Linked DNA regions of Yarrowia lipolytica. The protein of the gene in region 1 interacts with the protein of each later gene in a biochemical or structural test. Links are inferred from orthologs where the notes say so. Each region holds a gene or a part of one and is shown on either strand. Other genes may lie near its edges.

Region 1 (7,568 bases):
GGTCGCTAATAACGCCAATACAAGTCTCCCTCAAGCGTCTCGCATGAACCTTGGGAAAAGGTGACTTTCATCGCCGTAGGTAATCAAACGTCTCATCAGCGATTACCTTACAAACTCAACTCAATTGGAAAAAAGAATATACTTACAGTACTGTACACTGTAACAGGGTGTGGGTAAAAAAATGGGCAGATGGATGATGGATATACATCACCAGGCTTCTGTCTATTGATACATGCAACCCCTTGTACCCTTTTTTTCTAATACACTTAGCCACCATTTAATGGTCACCATCCATATGTTATAATGTGCATAAATACCCCTTTTCCAAAACTCGAACCTACAACCTTATGACTCGTCTCTCTCCCATCTGCAGATAAGGGTTTGAGTTTCATAGCAGGGAAAAAAAGTGCATCACATGACCTAGAACATCCATTTTTTTCCATTTTCCAACTTTCCATGAGACCAACGCTACGACTTAGCAACATGGTCAGTTACGCTGGAAAATTGGTACTGGCGCCCATGGTGCGTTCCGGCGAGTTCCCCACGCGGCTGCTCTCCATCAAGTACGGGGCTGATCTGGTGTGGAGTCCCGAGATTGTGGACAAGAAGATGTTGGAGTGCACCCGAGAGTGGAACGAGAAGACCAAGACGGTCGACTTTACTGTCAGTCAGCAGGGCAAGGGAAACACTGAGAAAAAGGCCATTATTTTCCGAACCTCTGAGGCTGAGAGAGACAAGATCATCTTCCAGGTGGGTTCGGCTAACCCCGAGATCGCCGTGGCCGCTTGCAAAATGGTTGCCAAGGACGTCGCTGGTATTGATCTCAACTGTGGCTGTCCCAAGCACTTTTCCATGCATGCAGGTATGGGAGCCGCTCTGCTCAAGACCCCCGATAAGCTGGTTGCTATCCTGGAGGCCTTGGTGAAGGAGGTGGGAGAGCCTTTCAATGTTAGCATTTCAGTCAAGATCCGACTGCTGGAGACGGAAGAGAAGACTCTGGAGCTTGTGGACAGGCTGGCTCAGACCGGAGTCAAAAACCTGACGATCCACTGTCGAACTACACCCATGCGACCTCGAGAACCTGTGATTCGAGATACTTTGGCCAAGGTAGCTGAGGTGTGTCACAAGCACGGAATCACCTGCCTTGTTAACGGAGATGTTGAAGGTCGACATGAGCTTGCTGATCTTCAGGAAAAGTACGGCATCGATGGAGCTATGATTGCCCGAGCAGCCGAGGCTAACGCTTCTTGTTTCAGAGCTGAAGGTATGCTCCCTTGGCAGCAGGTGACCAAGGAGTACCTTGATATCTGTCGAGAGTATGACAACTTTTACCAGAACACAAAATACTGTCTGACTCGCATGATCCCCGGAAAGAGTCCCAGTTATAAGAAAGTGGCTGCTTTGAAGGACTGCGAGAGTCTGGAGAAGTACATTAACGAGCAGTACGAGGAAATGCTCAAGGAGAGGGCCGAGGAGGAAGCCAAAAAGCCTGAAGAGCAGGTTATCAAAGAGGTGGGGGAGAAGGCCACAAGGGAGGTGGAGGAATCTATGGTTTCGAACGTTGAGGAGGCCGTTCAAGAGGCACCGGTTGAAGAGACACCTCTGGCTGCTGGCAAGCATGCTCTGGAGGCTGAGGAGCAGACATCTGCGAAGCGGGTGGCTGTTTAGATCAGGAAAAATTAAGGATTAGGAACTGCTCTTGTTGCATTATAGAAAGACAGTGTTATTTAAATAAGAATGTATGCTACAGTATGATTACACAAAGTGCGGGTATATTTTCCTGTTGATTAGGATGACATCGATACAGATACAAACGAGGCCACCCACAGATTCAACAACTGAAACAACTCTCCAGATGATTACAACGGAGCTATCACAGCACGACACTTGGTCCCTAGGATTGCTCAAGGCATGTCAGTTGGTTTGTTTGGCAACGCTGTTTTTGGTATTGAACGACTTCATAATGAGAGCTTTGGGGAAAGATCACAACAAAACAGACGGCTGGGAACTAAACCATCTTAAAAGACAACTGTGGATTAGTTATGAGCATCAGTGCCTGCTCAGCTCGCAACTAGTTCAAGTCTGTGATATCCAACAGGATGCAAGTCGAAAGGCACAATCAACACAAGCCAAATATGAAGTATACATTGACCAGAACCAGATACCCTTCTTTCGCTCGTACAACTGGCGAGATACCAGGAAACAGCTCTACTGTCCTCAGAATGTTTGGTTTTGTGGTGGCTTTGATGGTACATTTACAAAAGTCTCTACAACCCGAGAGGATGAGCACATCGACGACTACGCTATAAGTAGCAAGGAACATTCAAACGAAGAGTACTTTACCAGCAACGATATCTCAGGTTATGAACACCAGGATGCCTCAAATGACCGGGATGCCTACTTTCAAACTTCACCTGATTACATCTGAACTTCGATGACGATGATGCGAGTTACTATCGTGAAGCACTGACGTTAGCTATAGATGGGGGAGAATGTATTTGATGGCAGATGTGTAATTACAGTATGGAGAATTTAGAAGTAAGCACGTGCACTATTGGTTGGAGTAGATGACACTGAAATTTTGTTTGTAGGGCGAGTACGAGGTATGTACGATATATTGTTTCTTGAACTAAAGTGCAATAATTAGAGGGAATTATACTTATGCCAACGCTTCAGACTGCAAAGTTCCGAGGTTCATGTTTGGTGGTTCTATAATGTTCCACATGATGCAGCATGCATGAAAACTGAGGATCATAATTGCAAACCAGGCCCTACGGCACGAGTATAGGGACACATTGAATGGGTGATATAGTACTATACCAGATAATATCTTAATAATAGGCTCAGATATAATATAACTTCGATTTGTCTTCTCTCCTGGACAATATCCTTTTTGGGGCTCTTCAGAGTTATGGATCCACCTGTAGTTCTGAAGTGAGGTATTGATGTTCGGAAAAGTTCTGAGTCGACTACAAGTACAATACCAGCTGTTTGCTTGATCTTTTGTCTGTGTCCATTAGTTGTACTTGTGCTTGTACTACTTGTCTCGAGTAGTTGAGAATACTCAGCACCTGGACTCTCAAATACCTGAACTACAAATGATGTGCACATATCTACACGAATTATCTCGTTACTCATATATTTTAGGGAAGTCGCCTTACTCTTCGAACAACCGCCCGCGTATGTACAATGTACCTCTTATCGAGTTTACTCAAGAGGAGTCTTCTCAGCAGGAGGACCGAAAACAGCCTGCTTAAATACACACCAAACACCGGCTCCGGCAGCGGTGATACCAGAAGCAATGAGCATAGGTTTGGTTCCTCGAGGGGCACGGAAAATGGCTCCGGCAATGGCTCCAGCAGCAATAGAGTTGAAGGAGTCGTGCTTACCTCGGATGTCGTAGAGAATCTTGGAGTTGATGATGTTGTAAAAAAATCCCAGAACACCCATGGAGTTACCAAGGAAGGGACCTCGCTTGGTGATTGTGTTAAGAACGTGGTTGATTTTGATTTTGGCTGGTGCGCCCTCCTGGACTGTTCGCAGACCTTCCATTAGACCCGAGAAACCTCCGACACCGAGACCAGAGAGGTACAGAACGCCGGTTCCGTAACACAGGTCATCGTTCCATCCTCGAGACGGAAGCAGACCATCGTAGTAAATGGTCTCATTGCCCTCGAGAGTGAAGTACTCCATGCCGGCATCGAGACCAGCCATGGGATGCAGCTTTGTGGTGTCGAGATCAGCGTTGAGGAAAGAGGCGGCGGAGTTGGCGTTAGGGTCCAGGTCGAAGGTCACCTCCCTGACCTCCTCAACCTTGGGCTGTTCCTCTTTCTTCTTTCCGAATAGCCAGGACATAGTTGTTTGATGTGTGTTTTGGGTGGGGTGGATGGTTGACTACAGGCAACTTTTTTTCACTTTCGCAAGTTTCAGGGTTAGGGGCTTGCTTATTAAGAAAATGTCACTTTGTAAAGGTTAGGGTCTGTGTTTGGGGTGAACCGAGACCAGGGGTGGTTTATTTTTCACAGTTGTATAGACTTAACGACTTTACACCTGGAAAATATCATCATAACAGACCCATCACTTGATCTATCCAGTCTCATTGAGTCATTTCGCGACGAGTGAGTGGAAAGAATAAGGTTATATCTCCCAATGAAGAAGAGCTTATTCAGTGGCAGTTTTATGCAGAGTAATTACTGTAGCAGAGTTGGCAGTACGATACAGTGCGATAGCTACAAGGACTCCAATGGTGGCACTGGTAACACACAGTAGTTCTCAAAATTGCCACCTGTCATTGCACAAGAACCAGCAGGGGACAAATATTAAAACATTACCAGACGATAGTGCGGCACCAATTTTTTATAACTGAAACTTCAAATTCCCCAATAGCCGACCCCAACCTTTCAAAAATCAATTTCAATTTTTTTATCTTGTTACATGTATGGCCATCTCTTGTTCAAACGAATTTTATTAAAATGGACATGGTAATATCCATACTATACAGGTATAACTTGTAGATCCAGGCTCTCTTTTTTCAAATATGATATCATTACGTGGTACATTTTAAACAACAATAGCTCGAAGGCCGGTCTTGCCTGCCTCGGTGGAAAGATGAAGGGAATCATCAGGGTTCTTTCCAGAAACGATCACTAGGGACTCGTCGTATTCGAGCTTGGAGTCGTGTAGCTCGTTGACATGCTTCTCAGAGATGGGAGAGCCAAACGAGTAGCCCAGACGACCATCGTACGTGGAGGCAGGGGTCTCTTCAGAGACTTGTCCGGGGCCAGTGATAACATGTCGGATCTTGATTCGAGGGTACACACGGGCAATCTCAGCCAGATCGTCGTGGACAAAAGCGGCATCAGCAGTCTCAGTCTCCCAGATCAGGTTGATCCAAGTGAGATCCTCGGGAGTGTAGATAATCTCGTTGATGATGGGCAGCATGGCCTGGATGCCAGTGTCTCTGCAGACCATGAGCAGCTCCTTAACCATGTTGTGGGTGTAGTAGGGCTTGCCAATGGGGCCAATGACCTTGACGTGCTGGTTGACCTTCATTCCATCAAGATATCGACCGACCATGTCCTCACTGCCTCCCACGTTGTTGTGTTTGTACTGCAGGTTAAGAGGGGTTCGGTTGTGCCGAACGACAATGTCAAAAGATCCAGGTCGGATCTGAATCGGGTAAAAATGCTTGATGGCAACCCCGGCTCCTCCAGCAACCTTGGTGTCCCACTCAATTCGAACACCAATCTGCTGGCCGGGCTTGATGCCCAAAGTGTCTCGGGGAGAGGGCAGATCGATGGTGTAGATAGAGGTGTCATTGTTGATCAGCACCTTCTCGGAAACAGCCATTTCGTAAAGCTTAAGCTTTGAGTGAGCGGTGAGGAACTCGGGATCCTCCTTCTCGAGATCATTGAGATCGTTCTGGCCCCGGAAGAGAGTCGAGCCCGATCCTCGGTAGAGCTTGAGACCAGCCAGGCCCAGAGTGATGAAGATTCCTCCGACGAAAATCAGAGGATTTTCCAAGTAGTAGGCCAGAATGCCCATTCCCATTATCAGCAGAGCCGAGGGAATGTAGATTCCATCTCGGGGAGTGTCGAGAACGTCTTCATCCATTGTTGTGTGGTTGGAGAGTGTAGCTGAAGAAGAATGTTAGATGTTCGGGAATAAAGTTGATCATTCATGCACTCCGGGCATTGGGTCGAACGTGATTTCTGGCTGAAAAGACTTATTTGAGGGCAATAAAAGAGGTATTCACGTCAAAAATTGTTATCAGTATTCATATATTGATTAAAATGCCTTGTAGATACCACTTCAACATCCTTCTCCACGGTCGTGTTTAGCTCCTCCTCGTCAAGTCCGAACATTATAGTTAACCTGCAGCCCACAAGTCTGTCTTTTCAGTGTTGTGTTGTTGTAGACCCGATAAAGCCTCACTTCGGGAGTGGAAGGTTCCAGCGCATGGTAACTGGAGGTCCAAGTGGCTGAATGGCGGCAGTGAGATTGAACTTGGACTTTTCAAAGGTGGAATTAGACTTTGGCCCTTCGTTTAGAGCATTGCAAGTAGACCTACATTGGGCTGACTAATTGTGCGATTCAAAAGACGTGAAAATTAGTGTTCAGAATATGAATTTCCACAGAACAGCCCCCCCCCAAATAATCGAATTGGGGTATGAGTTCCACAGAACCAAAAGGGTATCTAACATCAGAGTACAGTACATACCATAATCATCTTTTATTCAATCCAGTTTCACTAAAAAAAAAAAGAAAACTGCAATTCGGCCTTACACCAAGCCACACTACAGAATTGGTAGAGTTGGAGGGACTGTAATGAAACTGCTCCAACTTCAGAGACGGAATATATCTGGAACATCAATATTTGACTAGAATGGATATCCTCTGAAGTGAATGGCGCATTCCGACCCTTGCCTACACACTTGTACTGTTGGCTACAGTAACATCACAAATCAAGACCAGTCCCAATATGCATCTTCTCTTATCATACTTTATCTTTCTTCCTTCTCGAACCACTCACTTCCCCATTCCACCATCCCGTCATGACTCTCGCAGCAGTCGGCCAATTTTGTGCAACCAATTCACTTACTCACAATGCCTCTATTGTTGCAGGACTAGTCCATAGAGCAGCAGCCCTGGGCGCCCAGGCTCTGTTCCTCCCTGAAGCCTCCGACTACATTTCTGGCTCGCCTAAGGAAGGGTTGAGTCTTGCACGAAATGCTGAAAATTCGCCCATGATCGCAGCAATCAGGGAGGCTCAAAAGGAAATCAAACAGAGCGGAATGTCTGGAATTGAGGTCTCAGTAGGAGTTCATGAGCTGTCCTCTTCTTCTGACCGGGTCAGAAACACCCTATTGTGGCTTGATTCCAACGGAGACATTGTCAACAGATACCAAAAAGTGCATCTCTTCGACGTGGAGGTGCCCAACGGTCCTATTCTGCAGGAATCAAAGTCAGTAGAGCCCGGGTCTGAACTTCCCAAGCCGTTCGAGACCCCAGTGGGAACAGTTGGACCTGCTATTTGTTATGATATCCGGTTTCCTGAGCTGGCATTGTTGTTGAGAAAGCAAGGCGCCCAGATTCTGCAATTTCCCTCGGCGTTTACAGTCAGAACTGGCGCCGCCCACTGGCACGTTCTTGCCCGAGCTCGTGCTATCGATACCCAATGCTATGTCATGATGCCAGCGCTGGTTGGAAAACACACAGAGGACGGCAAGCGAGAAAGCTACGGACACGCCATGATAATTGACCCCTGGGGAACTGTTCTTGCCGAGGCCAGCGACATAGACTCTTCGGCTGCAGTTATTGTTGCCGATATCAACCTAGAGCAGCTGAAGAAGGTCAGGACCAATATGCCTCTGTGGGACCAGAGACGAAATGATGTGTATAGCTTGCTTGAGGTGAAGAAATAGGGCACATTTAAAGTGTGAACGAATGAATGAAACCCATCTTTAGCGTAACAAACGAATAATCTGAGATATTGGCTGAGTAGCATTTTAGTAGATTGAAGTTGTTATTTCTAGTGTACGGTCCTGTAGATATAACGGGGATGAAAG
Region 2 (7,094 bases), on another chromosome or scaffold:
AGATCCAGATCAAGCAGTTGGGGCTTCTGGGGCGACGTGTTGATGTTGGACGACGAACCAGGAACCTGTTTTCGAGGAACGTTGTATCGATTGACACTGCTAGAGCTGGGGTTGGAGTGTTGAGGCTGGAGGGCCGGCTGCAGTGACTGCTGGCTCTGCTGAGTCTGGTAATACGGTCGCACTTGAGGTGGCACCTGTTGCTGCTGCTGCTGCTGTCGAGAGTCGTAGCCCTGGAAGGGATTGTGGATGTTGCTGGAGCTGGCGCCATGGGACGGAGGGACTGGAGCCGACGAATTGCCCAGCGACAGATTGTTGAGCGACGGCAGCGATGCCTGGGTCACATAAGGGTTGGTCGACACCTGTTTCTTGCGTTCGAGATTGCCAATGCGTTCTCGACACTCCTGCTCAAGCTCAAGAATGGAGTTGAGCAGGCCTCGTTCTGTGTCGCTGCGGGGCTTGGAGTTCTCCACCTGCTTGATTTTGGCATTGATGGAAAACAGGCACAACGTCCAAGCCTGGAGAGCGGGGCCGTCTTGCTGGGCCGTCTCTAGGAGCACAGCCTGAAGAGTGCCCTCGTGGGCATCGTCGTAGATGTTTTGCAGTTGTTGCTGGAGCTGCGTCGGGCCGCCAAACAGACTGTAGTTTGCCATGTGTTGATGTTAAAGGGGCGAAGAGTACTGGGTGATTCTGAAACCTGAAATTTGCAGAAACGTCAAGTGCGGTTGCCTAAGTTAGTTTAGCTTAGATATGCAGGCGGGATGGTCCAAGGGATGGAGGTAGAATTCAGAGAAGGTGCAGAAACGCACGAGTTGAAACGTAGACGGAGAGTTGAGGAGGAGGGGAACGGCGGTGGCAGTCGATTTCTTATCGCATCGGTACATTTATCGACTATTTTCTCTCTATAAGAGTACGCCCACTTTTTTTCCACCATCCTGAGCACTCCACTTTTCCAACTATATTTAGAACACTTGTTTTCCAGCAAGTTCTGGCCATGGCAGAAAAACGCATGGCATTCATAAACACACTGAAGAGAGACGTGTTCGAGTGTGACCCTTTTTTTCTTGCGGCAATGCAATGCACTGGGCTGATCGAAAGGTCGAAATATACAGGTGCTCACGTTATCCAAGCCCCAGTTTTAAACGGCTTTTCACTAGTCCACATATGACGGATTGTGCAATTCTCGTACTTGTACTGTAGATTCAAAAGAGCACTTCCTTTAAACACCACTCTACCAGCCTCATTTCCCCACCTCTAACACCACTGTCGTTATAACACAACACGTACTGTACTGTAAGAAACCTACGGCTGTGAGACAAGTGCACATCTGGGAGCGCTCAGCCCCACAAAATGCCCTAACCTTCAGTGACCTCATACGGCTGATAAGCTGCGGTCTTCCGGGTAACAGACACACGGTCTGTATTACGCACAGTCTATACTGACCGCCTTGTCTTGGAGTGGAGGCACGTGGAACAGACCTCTTTTCATGCACCCAGTCCAAACTTTGTCTTGGAACGAAATTGCAGATGATAGGACGAGAGTGTATGGTGGGGCTGTGGTTGTATCACTACTGTCTTGCGGCATATACAGCCTCCGTTGCTGCCAGTTCTGATATTATTCTTCTTAGCAGCTCTCAACTTCTCCCGTTTACGGTTAACCTCAATTCTCTCAGCATGCAGTGTCATTTATTGGGTTTGGAGGTTTTGAGATACCATTATCGCAGTTGTGGATTGGGCATAAGTATATTAAAAAGCTGTACGTACATATATAAGTATTGCTGCTGATGTTGTTTGGTGACAATGTACGCGCGAGTACCGGTAGCAACCAGACAATAGTTGCGTCTGGTGGTATTGTTTTGTCTTGTGTTTCAGAGGTATACAACGCTTCTTCATATCACTCAGCAACCAGCTCCATATAAATGCCGCCCAGTCCCCATGGAACCCACATAAAACCCGCCGATCACTTTTTAGACTAATTACCTAGCTACACTACTCTGAGCCTGTCTATGTTGTATTTGGACCGAATACTTCCCAACTGGTAGCCTCGTTTGCGATGCGAGCCCTTTATGGCTCTCCCTGGCTCGGGTTCCTTGTACTCGTACCTGTGGCTCGTAACATCTCTCGATCATTGTCCTAACCCTGTGTCCCAACCTGGCAACCTACAAATAGCTGTATGGGAGCCATACAAACACTCACGGCTTTTTCTGTGTGCACTGTAAGCTCGCTGTAAGCTCGAAGCTGGACTTGCTATGCAAGGGGCAGTGTTCGATCGAATCAGTGAAGAAAGATAAGGGATTCCTGTAAGTAATAGGTTAAGTACCAATGGCTCAAATAGTTGGAAATTAGTTGGGGTTCTGATAAAGACAACATCTCGAAAAGTATACCAATCTGTAAAGATAGTGACAGACAGTACACTTAGACGAATCACCTCTCGTTATTGTCTTATTTTAGCCCTCAAAATCGACCCTACCTCCCTCCCCAGCATCACCGACATCAAGCCGGTGTCTGACTAAGACAATTACACTTTTGGTGGGAGACGCACTCGATTTCTCAGAACGCATCACTTGACATCACTTTTAGAACCCAAAGGAAAACATGAACCGTCATTTTCACCGTTGAAATTTCGGGGTTAAAGAAGTGTACAGAAAATCCATACGGAGGGCTAAACGACCAACGTAAAGATGAATAGAATGGCGGAAATGGAAATCCTCAAAATAAAAATGTGGGAATACTCGCCACCCAAGCTGCCTTATAACACCCAAGTCCACTGGCTCTCGTCAGTGGCAAATGTCACTCCACATTACCGCCTTGTAGAAGTCTGTAGGCCCCGAAACAAAGTATATTAGATTTTCCACTGCACATTGACTCTTCATCATCCACAATGCACAGTCTACTGCGAGCAGCCCAGATTGCACGGGTGGCACGTCCCGGTGTCAAGCGGGCCATGACCCCCGCCGTGCGATTCTACTCGGACAAAAAAACCGAGAAATCCGACCAACCGTTCCAGAGCTCTTTGCTGAACGACGATTTGCTGGCCCAGGCCGGTATGGACGTTGATGAGTCCAAGGGCAAGAGCAAGCCTGCTGCTGAGGGCAAGTCCGAGGGTGCTGCCGAGGGAGCTACTGAGGACGATGTCACAGACGAGCAGCGAGCCCGATGGGCCGGAACTGCCAAGAAGTCCACCGACCAGACCTCCAAGCAGGAGTCTCGAGAGCGAATTGCCGGCTACGGATACTACGCCTTCTTTGCTGGATCAGCAGCTTTCGCCGCCTACCTGGCCCGAGACTGGGACAATGAGGAGGACAAGAAGAAGCATGATACCATTGGCCAGGGATACACCCCCATGCTCATGTGGGCCCGTCTCAAGGCTCGAATCGGAGACACCTTTTCCTTCTACCGAGACCCCGTGGCTCCCGTTCTTCTCCCCGATCCCCCTGCTCCCCCGTACCAGCGACCTTTGACGCTTGTTATTGCCCTCGACGATCTGCTTGTCCACCAGGAGTGGAGCAGAGAGCATGGCTGGCGAGTGGCAAAGCGACCTGGCGTTGACTACTTCCTGGGCTACCTCGGCCAGTACTATGAGATTGTTCTTTTCTCTTCTCAGTACATGGCCAACTGCGAGAAGCTCATCATGAAGCTTGATCCCTACCACGCCTGGTTCTCCCACGTTCTGACCCGAGAGCACACCACTTACGAGGACGGTAAGCTGGTCAAGGACCTGTCTCTGATGAACCGAGATATGGGCAAGATCATCATCATCGACCCCGATACCGGATGCACCATGAAGCAGCCCGAGAACTCCATCCCCATCGAGCCCTGGAAGGGAACTCCCGGCGACAAGGAGCTGGTCAAGTTGATCCCCTTCCTGGAATGGCTGGTGTCTCAGAACGTGAACGACGTTCGACCCATTCTTAAGGCCTTTGATGGCACCTATCTGCCTGACGAGTTCACCCGACGAGAGGCCATTGCCCGAGAAAAGTTCGAAAAGGACTGGTACGCCAAGCACGGAAAGGACGGCCAGTGGGCCTCCAAGTTCCTGGGTGTCTCCGAGCCCAAGCAGCAGAAGCCTCTGATGCCCCACGACGTGATGCGACGAGAGGGCCAGAAGCAGTACCAGAAGTTCCTGGAGTACCTGGCCGTTGAGGGCCCCAAGCTCAAGGCCGAGGAGGAGCGAATGATTGCTGAGCAGAAGGCTATGGGACCTAAGAACCTGTCGGAGGCTGTCTCCAGCATTGGTTCTCTACCTCCTGTGCCCCAGCAGCCCACTGAGCCCAAAGCTTAGATGTATATAGTATGAGTTAACGTGGCACGATGAGTGATAGAGCCATGAGCGAGCCATGTGTGAGCCATGTGTGAAGCGAATGGTGAAGCGAATGACAACGCGATTGGATAAATGTAGCTGCTGTAGCCGTAGTCCGGGCCTATTCAATCGCTGGCTGAGAACTGTTAGTCACTGCCCCTTCTTCGCTACAAACTGTCTGATGTATGTCTGTTGCACAAGCGCATATATATATCCCGTGTCTGGTGAAGGGAAAGGACGACGGCTGGGGGAAACACAAATATATATCAAACGCGATGTGCACTTTTCATATCAACGACTTGCTGTTATCTTGAGATGAGCCAGATTGACTCTGATCTGTTACCCTGATAACGACGCACCCAGTTTATTTATATCTTCAGTATGCATTGATACGAGCTGCCTCGGTATGAGCCCTGGTATCTCTTTCATCAGACTATAAGTACACACCAAGTTTTTTCCGAAGTTGATGAACATACAAGTATTAGTATGAGTACATTATTCTGGAAGAGTGGCGACGAAACTGTAGTCTCGTTCTTCTGACTTTTCTCGCTTACAGTCCTGAGCCGGCTGAACAGGGCTGAGTTTAGATCCTCCTCATGTCTTAAACTCGTACGTCACATGGTGAGTTATATATAATGGACGATGATGGGCGATGTGAATGAGTAGAACAAAAGTAGTGAGAGGTGTTTAAACAGAACGTGCAAAGCTTCCAGCTGTTCCCTCTCACTTGTCATGCTCTTCTCAAGCAACCCTGTCTTAGCTATTCCCGCATCACTCATCTTAAATGTGTCCGGAGATAAGTAAGCTTCAGCTGCCTGTACAGTTTGCGAGTCCCAAACTATCCAGGCGATAATAATAGTTCTCCATGAGTACATTACCGCGGGTATCTGAGGTTGCTTTTGGGGTGTCATTCTGTAACAGTCTCATCTTTTTATATTGCTCAATGCAAAAATCGCATTTCCAGGTCTCTGTGGGGCCCACCACTTGTCGAAACAGGTGTTGTTATGATGTCGGATTTTCATTTACCCTACTCACGTGACGCCCAAGACATGTAGTACAGAGACTTTAATCAGACTGAACCATCAACAGCTCTGCGAACTTGCCTTCTTACGACCCCACAATGGCCCAGTTCCCGCTGTTTCAGAAATTCCAAAAGGCGATACAGCACCCGCCGGCCCTGTCGCTTGGGCTGCCCATTTTTCTGACCGTCATTTTCCTGTTGTCCCAGCGATATGTGTGGATTGAGGACGACCTGGAGCTGCGAAGCACCGCCCTGACCAATTTCGAACGTGAGTACACCGCAACAACACACCACTATTTTCCCCCTCGCTAACTAGTCAACCGAATCTCATTCTACCCCCTGGTCCATGCCACCTGGTTCCATCTGCTGCTCAATCTTGTGGCGCTACAGCCCATTGTGTCGCAGTTTGAGCGAGTCAATGGAACTGTGCGAACCGGAATCGTGCTCAACATTCTCGCTGTTGTCACTGCCATTCCCTGGTGTCTGTTGTCTATCGGCTTCTTCCCCGATGAGGCTGTCCTGGGCTCCTCCGCCTGGATCTTCTCCTTCATGGGATACTGGGCCATCCGGGAGTCCTCCAAGCAGCCTACCACCCAGCTGGCCCCCAACCTCGTGGTGCCCACTTGGCTTCTACCCATCATCTACCTGGTTGTCATTGCCATTGTCATCCCCAGCTCTTCCTTCATTGGCCATCTGCTGGGACTGATTGCTGGCTGGATGATGGCTCTGGGCTACCTGGACGTACTCATTGAGCCTTCGTCCAAGGTGGTGCTCTGGATCGAGAACAAGATCTCCAGAGTCATTGACCTGATCCCCTCGTCCATCGTCACTTTCTACCGAGAAGAGGGCGCTTTGGACACTCGAGCTGCCGCTCGAGCAGACACCAACCGGTCCCTGTCCGTGTCTGGCGGCAACTTCCTGGGCTTCCAGGCCAACTCCAGCCAGGCCGATCTCGAGGCCGGTACCCGGTCTCGAGGCAACAGCAGCGTTGACCCCACCACTTCTTTCCCTGGAACGGGCCAGACTCTTGGTACCCAGTAAAGGACGATACCAAAATGAACGTAGAACATGTAAACATGTAATGAGCCATGACCTTTTAAGTGAGTTACAGGTGTAGGGTGTTTGTGCGACTGGTGTAATACATGTACACAAGAAATATAGTGCCCTGTATCGTAGATTGACTACTGAAGATCCCAGGGTGGATGGATGATGTACATACCAGCTACACTTTGTAGTATCGATATGAAGCTGGGAACGCACAGTGGGACTATCACGATGACAAAAACTTGAAACCATGCAATTAATTATGTGTACTCAATCGTTCGTCTTCACAATCTACCTCTGTATCGTTCTCTCTCTCTATGATCGTTGCCCCCTTCATCTCAGAATCAAAGTTCGGGATATGCATGTCAGAAATTTTTCTGTTATCTCGCAACTACACCTGCACATTCCCCAGAGGACATTATTGGACCAGCTAACATGTTGACAGAAGACCAGATTGACGACGTCATGTTCGACGCCCGAGGAGGCGAGCTCGAAAGCATTGAAAAGTTCTTCTCCGCTCAGGACAAGCCCCTTGAGACCCTCAAAGAGGTCAAGGACCAGTACACAGAATCCACCCCTCTGCACTATGCCGCTGCCAACGGTCACATTGACGTTGTCAAGTATCTGCTTGGTTTGGTTGCAGAGGATGCCGAAGCCCAGGCCGCTCTCATTTCCGCCCAGAACGACTCGGGCAACACAGCTCTGCATTGGGCAGCATTAAACGGAAACCTGG
Region 3 (5,828 bases), on another chromosome or scaffold:
CCAACACAAGCTGCAAGTCGTCCTCAGCAGAGGGCGTTCTCAGATGCGAGCCCAGAAGTTCAATCACGTGGGAAGGATCTCCGTTCTCCAGCTCATCAATTGTCAACCCAGGGTTGATACCATGTAGACGCGTGTAGTTGATGAGCACCTGGGGTACGCCTGCCACCCAATCAACTTCCTCCGAGTTGTTGTGGTAACCACTCTGCAGGATCAGCTGCTCCATCAACTGCGTATCATGTGATACCTTGAACACGAGTCGGATTCGTTCCTCCAGAAAGTTGTGCACAGGTTTGGGTACCACTGAATCGAGGTATGCCAGCAGCTTTTGTTCTCGAGACTTGATCACGAGTTCTGGAATGAATCCCTCATCTCCAACCACACTACCCGTATCTTGTCCCTTGTCCAATTGCCCCTTTCCCACCTTGTTGACGAGCCCCATGTATTCCTTTGGATCCAGCAATTCTGGAGTGAGAACCAGAAGAATGTGCAAAATGTCTTCCTTTTGAGAGGCGCAGAAGGCTGGAGAGCTCGCCAGAAGCGTCTCAAGAGCGTGTATTTGCGCACTGGCTGTGAGTTTTGCTGTTTCGAGAAACAGAGACATGATTGCTATTGTAGTGCGTAGCGTGGAGTGATGCGTTGTGTCGTGTTACATGTAATGGAGTTATGCATGCTGAATTTTGGGGTTAGGGTCGGAGCGGCGTGGTGTGGGTAGTCAATGGAACTTGGTACTCGTACTTGTAGGGGAGAGGTGAGATTATAAATTAACGAGGGAAAGTACCAAGAAACCGAATTAAGGGGTATGGGGCTATTATTATGGATTATATTGAAATTTGAGGAAGTTCTATAAGTTTGATTTCGACAGGAGGTATTTGTTGAAGTTTAGTTAGGAAGTCAAGTATCAGGATGACTAAGATGTGTCTTTGATTCGATTCCCACTTATGACTGTATTTTCTTACATACAATGTGATCAGACCTGTTCTCGCTACGAGGACCAGAATAGTATCAATGAGAAGTTTATCAATGAGGATCGACCTTTGTTTCCTTATAGAATAATTCAGCTTCCTTAATAGTTGTATACCCCCCAAAACAACCACAACCACCTGCTATCCATCCTCTCCCCTTACGCCTTCCACCTACAGTACGTGTAACTCTAATACATGCAGGTGAAAAGCTACTCTTAAATTTCAACTACTGTATCTCGACAACGGCACAACTCTTTTTCCCCAAAGATGGCTATCGGAATCACAGAAAAGATCACACAGATCCAGGAGGAGCTGGCTCGGACGCAGAAAAACAAGGCAACCGAGTACCACGTTGGTCTGCTCAAGGGTAAGCTCGCTCGATATCGACAACAGCTTCTGGAGCCTGCTCCTGGAAGTTCGACTTCCAAGGGAGAAGGATTCGAGGTCAGCAAGTCTGGACATGCCCGAGTGGCTCTTATTGGCTTCCCCTCTGTTGGAAAGTCGTCACTGCTCGGCAAAATCACAAACACAAAGTCGGAGATTGCTGCTTACGCCTTCACTACCCTGACGTCAGTTCCTGGTGTGCTGGAGTACAATGGAGCCGAGATCCAGATTCTCGATCTGCCCGGTATTATTCAGGGTGCTTCCGAGGGTAAGGGTCGAGGTCGACAGGTTGTTTCGACCGCTAAAACTGCCGACCTGGTGCTCATGGTTCTGGATGCTACCAAGCCTGAGGAGCAGCGTGCTATTCTCGAGCGAGAACTCGAGTCTGTGGGCATCCGACTTAACAAGGAGCCGCCCAACATTTATTTCAAGATTAAAAAGACAGGAGGCGTCAAATTTTCTTATACCAACCCGCCCAAGTACCTCTCGGAGAAGATGGTGATGCACTTGCTCAAGGACTACAAGATCCACAACGCCGACGTGCTGATCCGAGATGAAAACGTGACGGTCGAGGATATGATCGACGTGATCCACGCCGACCACAGATCCTACATCAAGTGTCTATACTGCTACAACAAGTGTGACGCTGTGTCTCTGGAGGAGGTCGACCGGCTTGCTCACATGCCTGACACCGTGGTCATTTCTGCATCCATGGAGCTGGGTCTCGATGATCTGACGGAACGAATCTGGGCCGACCTCGCCATGCTACGAATCTACACAAAACGAAAGGGAGAGCTTCCGGACTTCGCTGAACCCACCGTGGTTAGATCCACTCACAACACTATCGAGGATGTCTGTGACACTATTCACAGAGACATGAAGAACAAGTTCAAGTACGCGTTGGTGTGGGGTGTGTCGGCCAAGCACTCGCCGCAGAAATGTGGTCTTTCGCACAAGATTGGAGACGAAGATGTGGTGTGTATTTTCACCAAAACGTAGAGTGCTTCGAACTCTCTGATGGCAGGTGTCAGAGGAGACAAGTAGATGATAATATAAACATGAAATACGCATGCAGACCGTACTGGTGGCTTCTGGTAGTTCATATTGGTATTGATGCCTGGTTGACTAAGACTGATCCGTGACATGGAACTTTCCAGAATACTCGCGAGCACAGAAACGCAATCTATAACAACAGCAGACTCGAAAGACTGCAATAAATACACCCTGGGCCATTACACGCAAACTAAATGTGTCGACCTCACAATGATATGTTCTCTTCTACACACTATTCAAATCCATCAATCTCATTAGCAACGGACAACCGTACTGGCGTCCGCCGTTCCTATATACATCCTTCTTATTGCCCTTTGCAATGATGCTCCGCAGTTACTGGTGGTTAAAGCCGTTGTGAGTCAGCATCACAAGGGGAAACACACCTGTAACACACAACATTTGCTTCGATCATGTTGTTTATTTGAGTCCTCCCCGCTTCTCAAGAACAGACTTAGCCTCGTTGATCTTGGTGGCAACGTAGGGAGATCCGCCTCGATCGGGATGGTTCAGCAACATGATCTTTCGGTGCTGGCCCTTGAGCTTGTTCATGGTCAGACCGGCGTCTCGAAGAGACAGAATTTGCAGAGCCTCGGAGGGACCCATTTTGTTCTCAAACCCGCCCTTGAAGAACTGGCCTCGAGCGCCGGCAGCAGGACGCTTGAAAACAGCGCCCAGAGCATACAGACCGACCAGAGTGGCGGCAGTGGCCTGGACAGGGTGCTCGGCAAAGTAGTCGAAAATCTGCTCGTCGATGCCCTTCTTGGGGCCCTCGGGGACCTGGGGGGCCTCGATCTGGGGAGCGACGCCGGTCTCGGAGTCCATCAGAGGCTCCGACTGCAGAGGTTGGACGGGGGTAGTGCTCATGGTTGTGTAGTGTGCTGTGGTGAGTGGTGATGTCAGACTCAATTTTTCACCACCAAAATATACTTTGAGTTTCGAATTTGGGTGGTTGGTTTTGGCAGCATGCAGAAGACACAGGGAAGACTTTGGGGGACGATGTAGGTGTGCTAAGGGAATTTAGAACATACCAGTGTGCTTCTATAAACGAGAAGAGTACGATAATGATACCACATTTTCCCTTTAGGAGCTATCACACGTCCCCGTGTAAAGTGATCGAGTATAACTAAATACCGAGGTTAAAATGAGGTAAGCTTTGCGGATCTCAACTTCGGGATGCTCATAAGACGTTTAATAGTAGATCTATTTGGAATAAATTTTCACAGATAATATATTGGAAGTGTGTTGTTTCTGTCAGAACAATTTTTACCCAAAATGACACCCAATTTAGTTGAGTATAAGTAACCCCCAAAATCTCTCCCCATAACAATCCTAAACTCTAATACATAGAGATGGCGAATGAATGGGTTTTTCCAGCAATCATATAGGTGTCTATGGGATCTATTAATTGGCTCTGATTATTTAAAGCTGATAAATATACCCACATCCATTCTAGAACGGTGTTTTCTTTCTTGTGTCATTAGAATCCCCCACAAAACCTGTCCCGCAGTATCTCCGAACGCCCTTATTAAGCGGGGTTGAGTTTTGTGTGTGTGCAGGGAAAGGGTTGATCATACTGGAGAGTCGTGAGGACGATATAAACGAAGAGATGTCCCAATTTCCTGAGCCGGTGACTTAGTACGAGATCTAAGATGTACCTGATCTTGGTAAGTTGACCACAGCTGAATGTACTGGAGCTTATAGAGGTAGCTAGAGCTTGTAGTGTAGCTACTAGAATATCACCAGTGCACTGTAGATCGCGCACAATCTATTACAGTAGACTATAAGTTGATGGACATGCTACAGTATCATTGATTTACGAGCTTGGTCTAACTACAGGCACGAGTATTGTAGTTACACCAGTGACCAAACCACAGGCTAATTGCCATTCTGGTGCATCCAGTTAGTGGTACCGGCGATAAAAGTAGTGGCAAGAGTCGAGTTCGTTACAAGTTGGCATCCTGATGATAACATCAAGTGTTGTACATATTAGCATCGATTTCTGTAGCTACATCAAGAAAAATGGGCACTAAGGCACTGGGGGAACTGATGTTACAACATGGTATGAGAATATGATACTGTATATGTGATTATCAGATGAGCTATCTTCTAACACCATAGATCCCTTCTCTGTGCTGTGGTACATGTATGGGACCACAGTCCCTAATTCCCATCGCCACACCAGTATGTACACAGACGTATGGCCTGTAGCATCTTCAATCTCACTCGACCTTTTCAAGTACCCCCGTATGCACCATCATTTGCCGTCGCGACCTTCGTGACAATTCCTCCGGTATGTATATTCTATACTCGTCTGTGATGTCTTTGTCCTCATCAAATGTCATAGTGGCATGTAACATGTTATCCAGGCAGGGTATGCTTTTGGGGTTACGAAGCTACTTTGGACCCTTTTTATACACGGCACTCCAACGTAGAATAGGAAATAGGGGATATTGGCCTGTACTTGTAGTGTTTTTTTTTTTTTTTTTTTTTTTTTTTTTTTTCAGATTATATCAGATATTGTTTCCCATCAGATTCTTCCTCTCTATGAATTTTACCGAATTTCGCCATGTTTCTTGTCCCTTGTTTGATTTGTTTCACAATTAAGCTCATTTTTGCTCGTTTAAATTCAAATTCGCTTAATATGTTCCTTGTTGTCAGCTCGTATCGAGATATACTAGCTGAGAATGTGCTGAGCGGCTTTGAACGTGGCGCCACTTACTATACGCATTGCAAGACATAGAACCATTCCCGTAATAAAAATTCCCTGGGAGCGTACACAAACGCCTCACGTGACTTTTCCGCACTTTTGCGCTCCTCAAAACATACGGCAGCATTGAATTTTGTGTTTAATTTTAATGTACCTTCACTGTTCTGCACGGCGCAGGTGGAGGCGCGGTTAGTAGATTATGTACACTTGTCGTTTTTGACCATTATTGCACGTAAAATGACTATCCGGGAGTATTATGAGGCATTACAAATCGACTAAACCAGTAAAAACGCCCCCAGATGACATTCATGACATTCATGACACTCTAACACCTTTCCCCAGCTTGCGTAAATATATGCAATTATAGTTAAGCTTCATGGGGTGCTGCAGTGTCGAATCACGCATACTGTTAAAGGTGATGAGCAATCCCACAAACGAGTCTCTCACTTTCCTCTCGTCATTGTAAAGCAATTGTTTTTAGAAGCCGACTTCTCTTCCTAAAAAACAGCATGGAAAGCACACCACCAGATTACACTGGTCTGGATCCCACCATTGATGCAGAAATCAGGTCAATAGCAGAATCCGTCCATAAAGATAGGGTCGACGATTACGACACGGAAAAGGGCACTGTGGGGAACGAAAAGCTGCTCAGATCCGACACTGTCCAGCCTAACCTTGACGTCAATCCTTACATCGACAACTCGGACCCCCAACTCGATCCG

The links.
Region 2: the proteins of YALI1_F36760g (region 1) and YALI1_B27254g form a complex in vitro, tested with the Saccharomyces cerevisiae proteins (12 studies listed by BioGRID). The link is inferred for Yarrowia lipolytica from reciprocal best matches to the Saccharomyces cerevisiae genes TIM23 and TIM50.
Region 3: the proteins of YALI1_F36760g (region 1) and YALI1_B17132g form a complex in vitro, tested with the Saccharomyces cerevisiae proteins (4 studies listed by BioGRID). The link is inferred for Yarrowia lipolytica from reciprocal best matches to the Saccharomyces cerevisiae genes TIM23 and PAM18.

The regions. Positions count from the first base shown.
Region 1 is NC_090775.1:3,672,335-3,679,902, reverse strand, and holds YALI1_F36760g (uncharacterized protein), read right to left. Parts: upstream 3,856-7,568; coding exon 3,208-3,855; downstream 1-3,207. Other genes in the region: YALI1_F36794g (uncharacterized protein), read left to right, coding at 457-1,668; YALI1_F36781g (uncharacterized protein), read left to right, coding at 1,742-2,428; YALI1_F36742g (uncharacterized protein), read right to left, coding at 4,561-5,613; YALI1_F36733g (uncharacterized protein), read left to right, coding at 6,555-7,424. UniProt on the Saccharomyces cerevisiae protein: Essential component of the TIM23 complex, a complex that mediates the translocation of transit peptide-containing proteins across the mitochondrial inner membrane.
Region 2 is NC_090771.1:2,722,568-2,729,661, forward strand, and holds YALI1_B27254g (uncharacterized protein), read left to right. Parts: upstream 1-2,877; coding exon 2,878-4,278; downstream 4,279-7,094. Other genes in the region: YALI1_B27211g (uncharacterized protein), read right to left, coding at 1-650; YALI1_B27280g (uncharacterized protein), read left to right, coding at 5,417-5,585, 5,634-6,358; YALI1_B27293g (uncharacterized protein), read left to right, coding at 6,797-7,094.
Region 3 is NC_090771.1:1,709,984-1,715,811, forward strand, and holds YALI1_B17132g (uncharacterized protein), read right to left. Parts: upstream 3,264-5,828; coding exon 2,817-3,263; downstream 1-2,816. Other genes in the region: YALI1_B17105g (uncharacterized protein), read right to left, coding at 1-601; YALI1_B17112g (uncharacterized protein), read left to right, coding at 1,230-2,345; YALI1_B17155g (uncharacterized protein), read left to right, coding at 5,616-5,828. UniProt on the Saccharomyces cerevisiae protein: Essential component of the PAM complex, a complex required for the translocation of transit peptide-containing proteins from the inner membrane into the mitochondrial matrix in an ATP-dependent manner.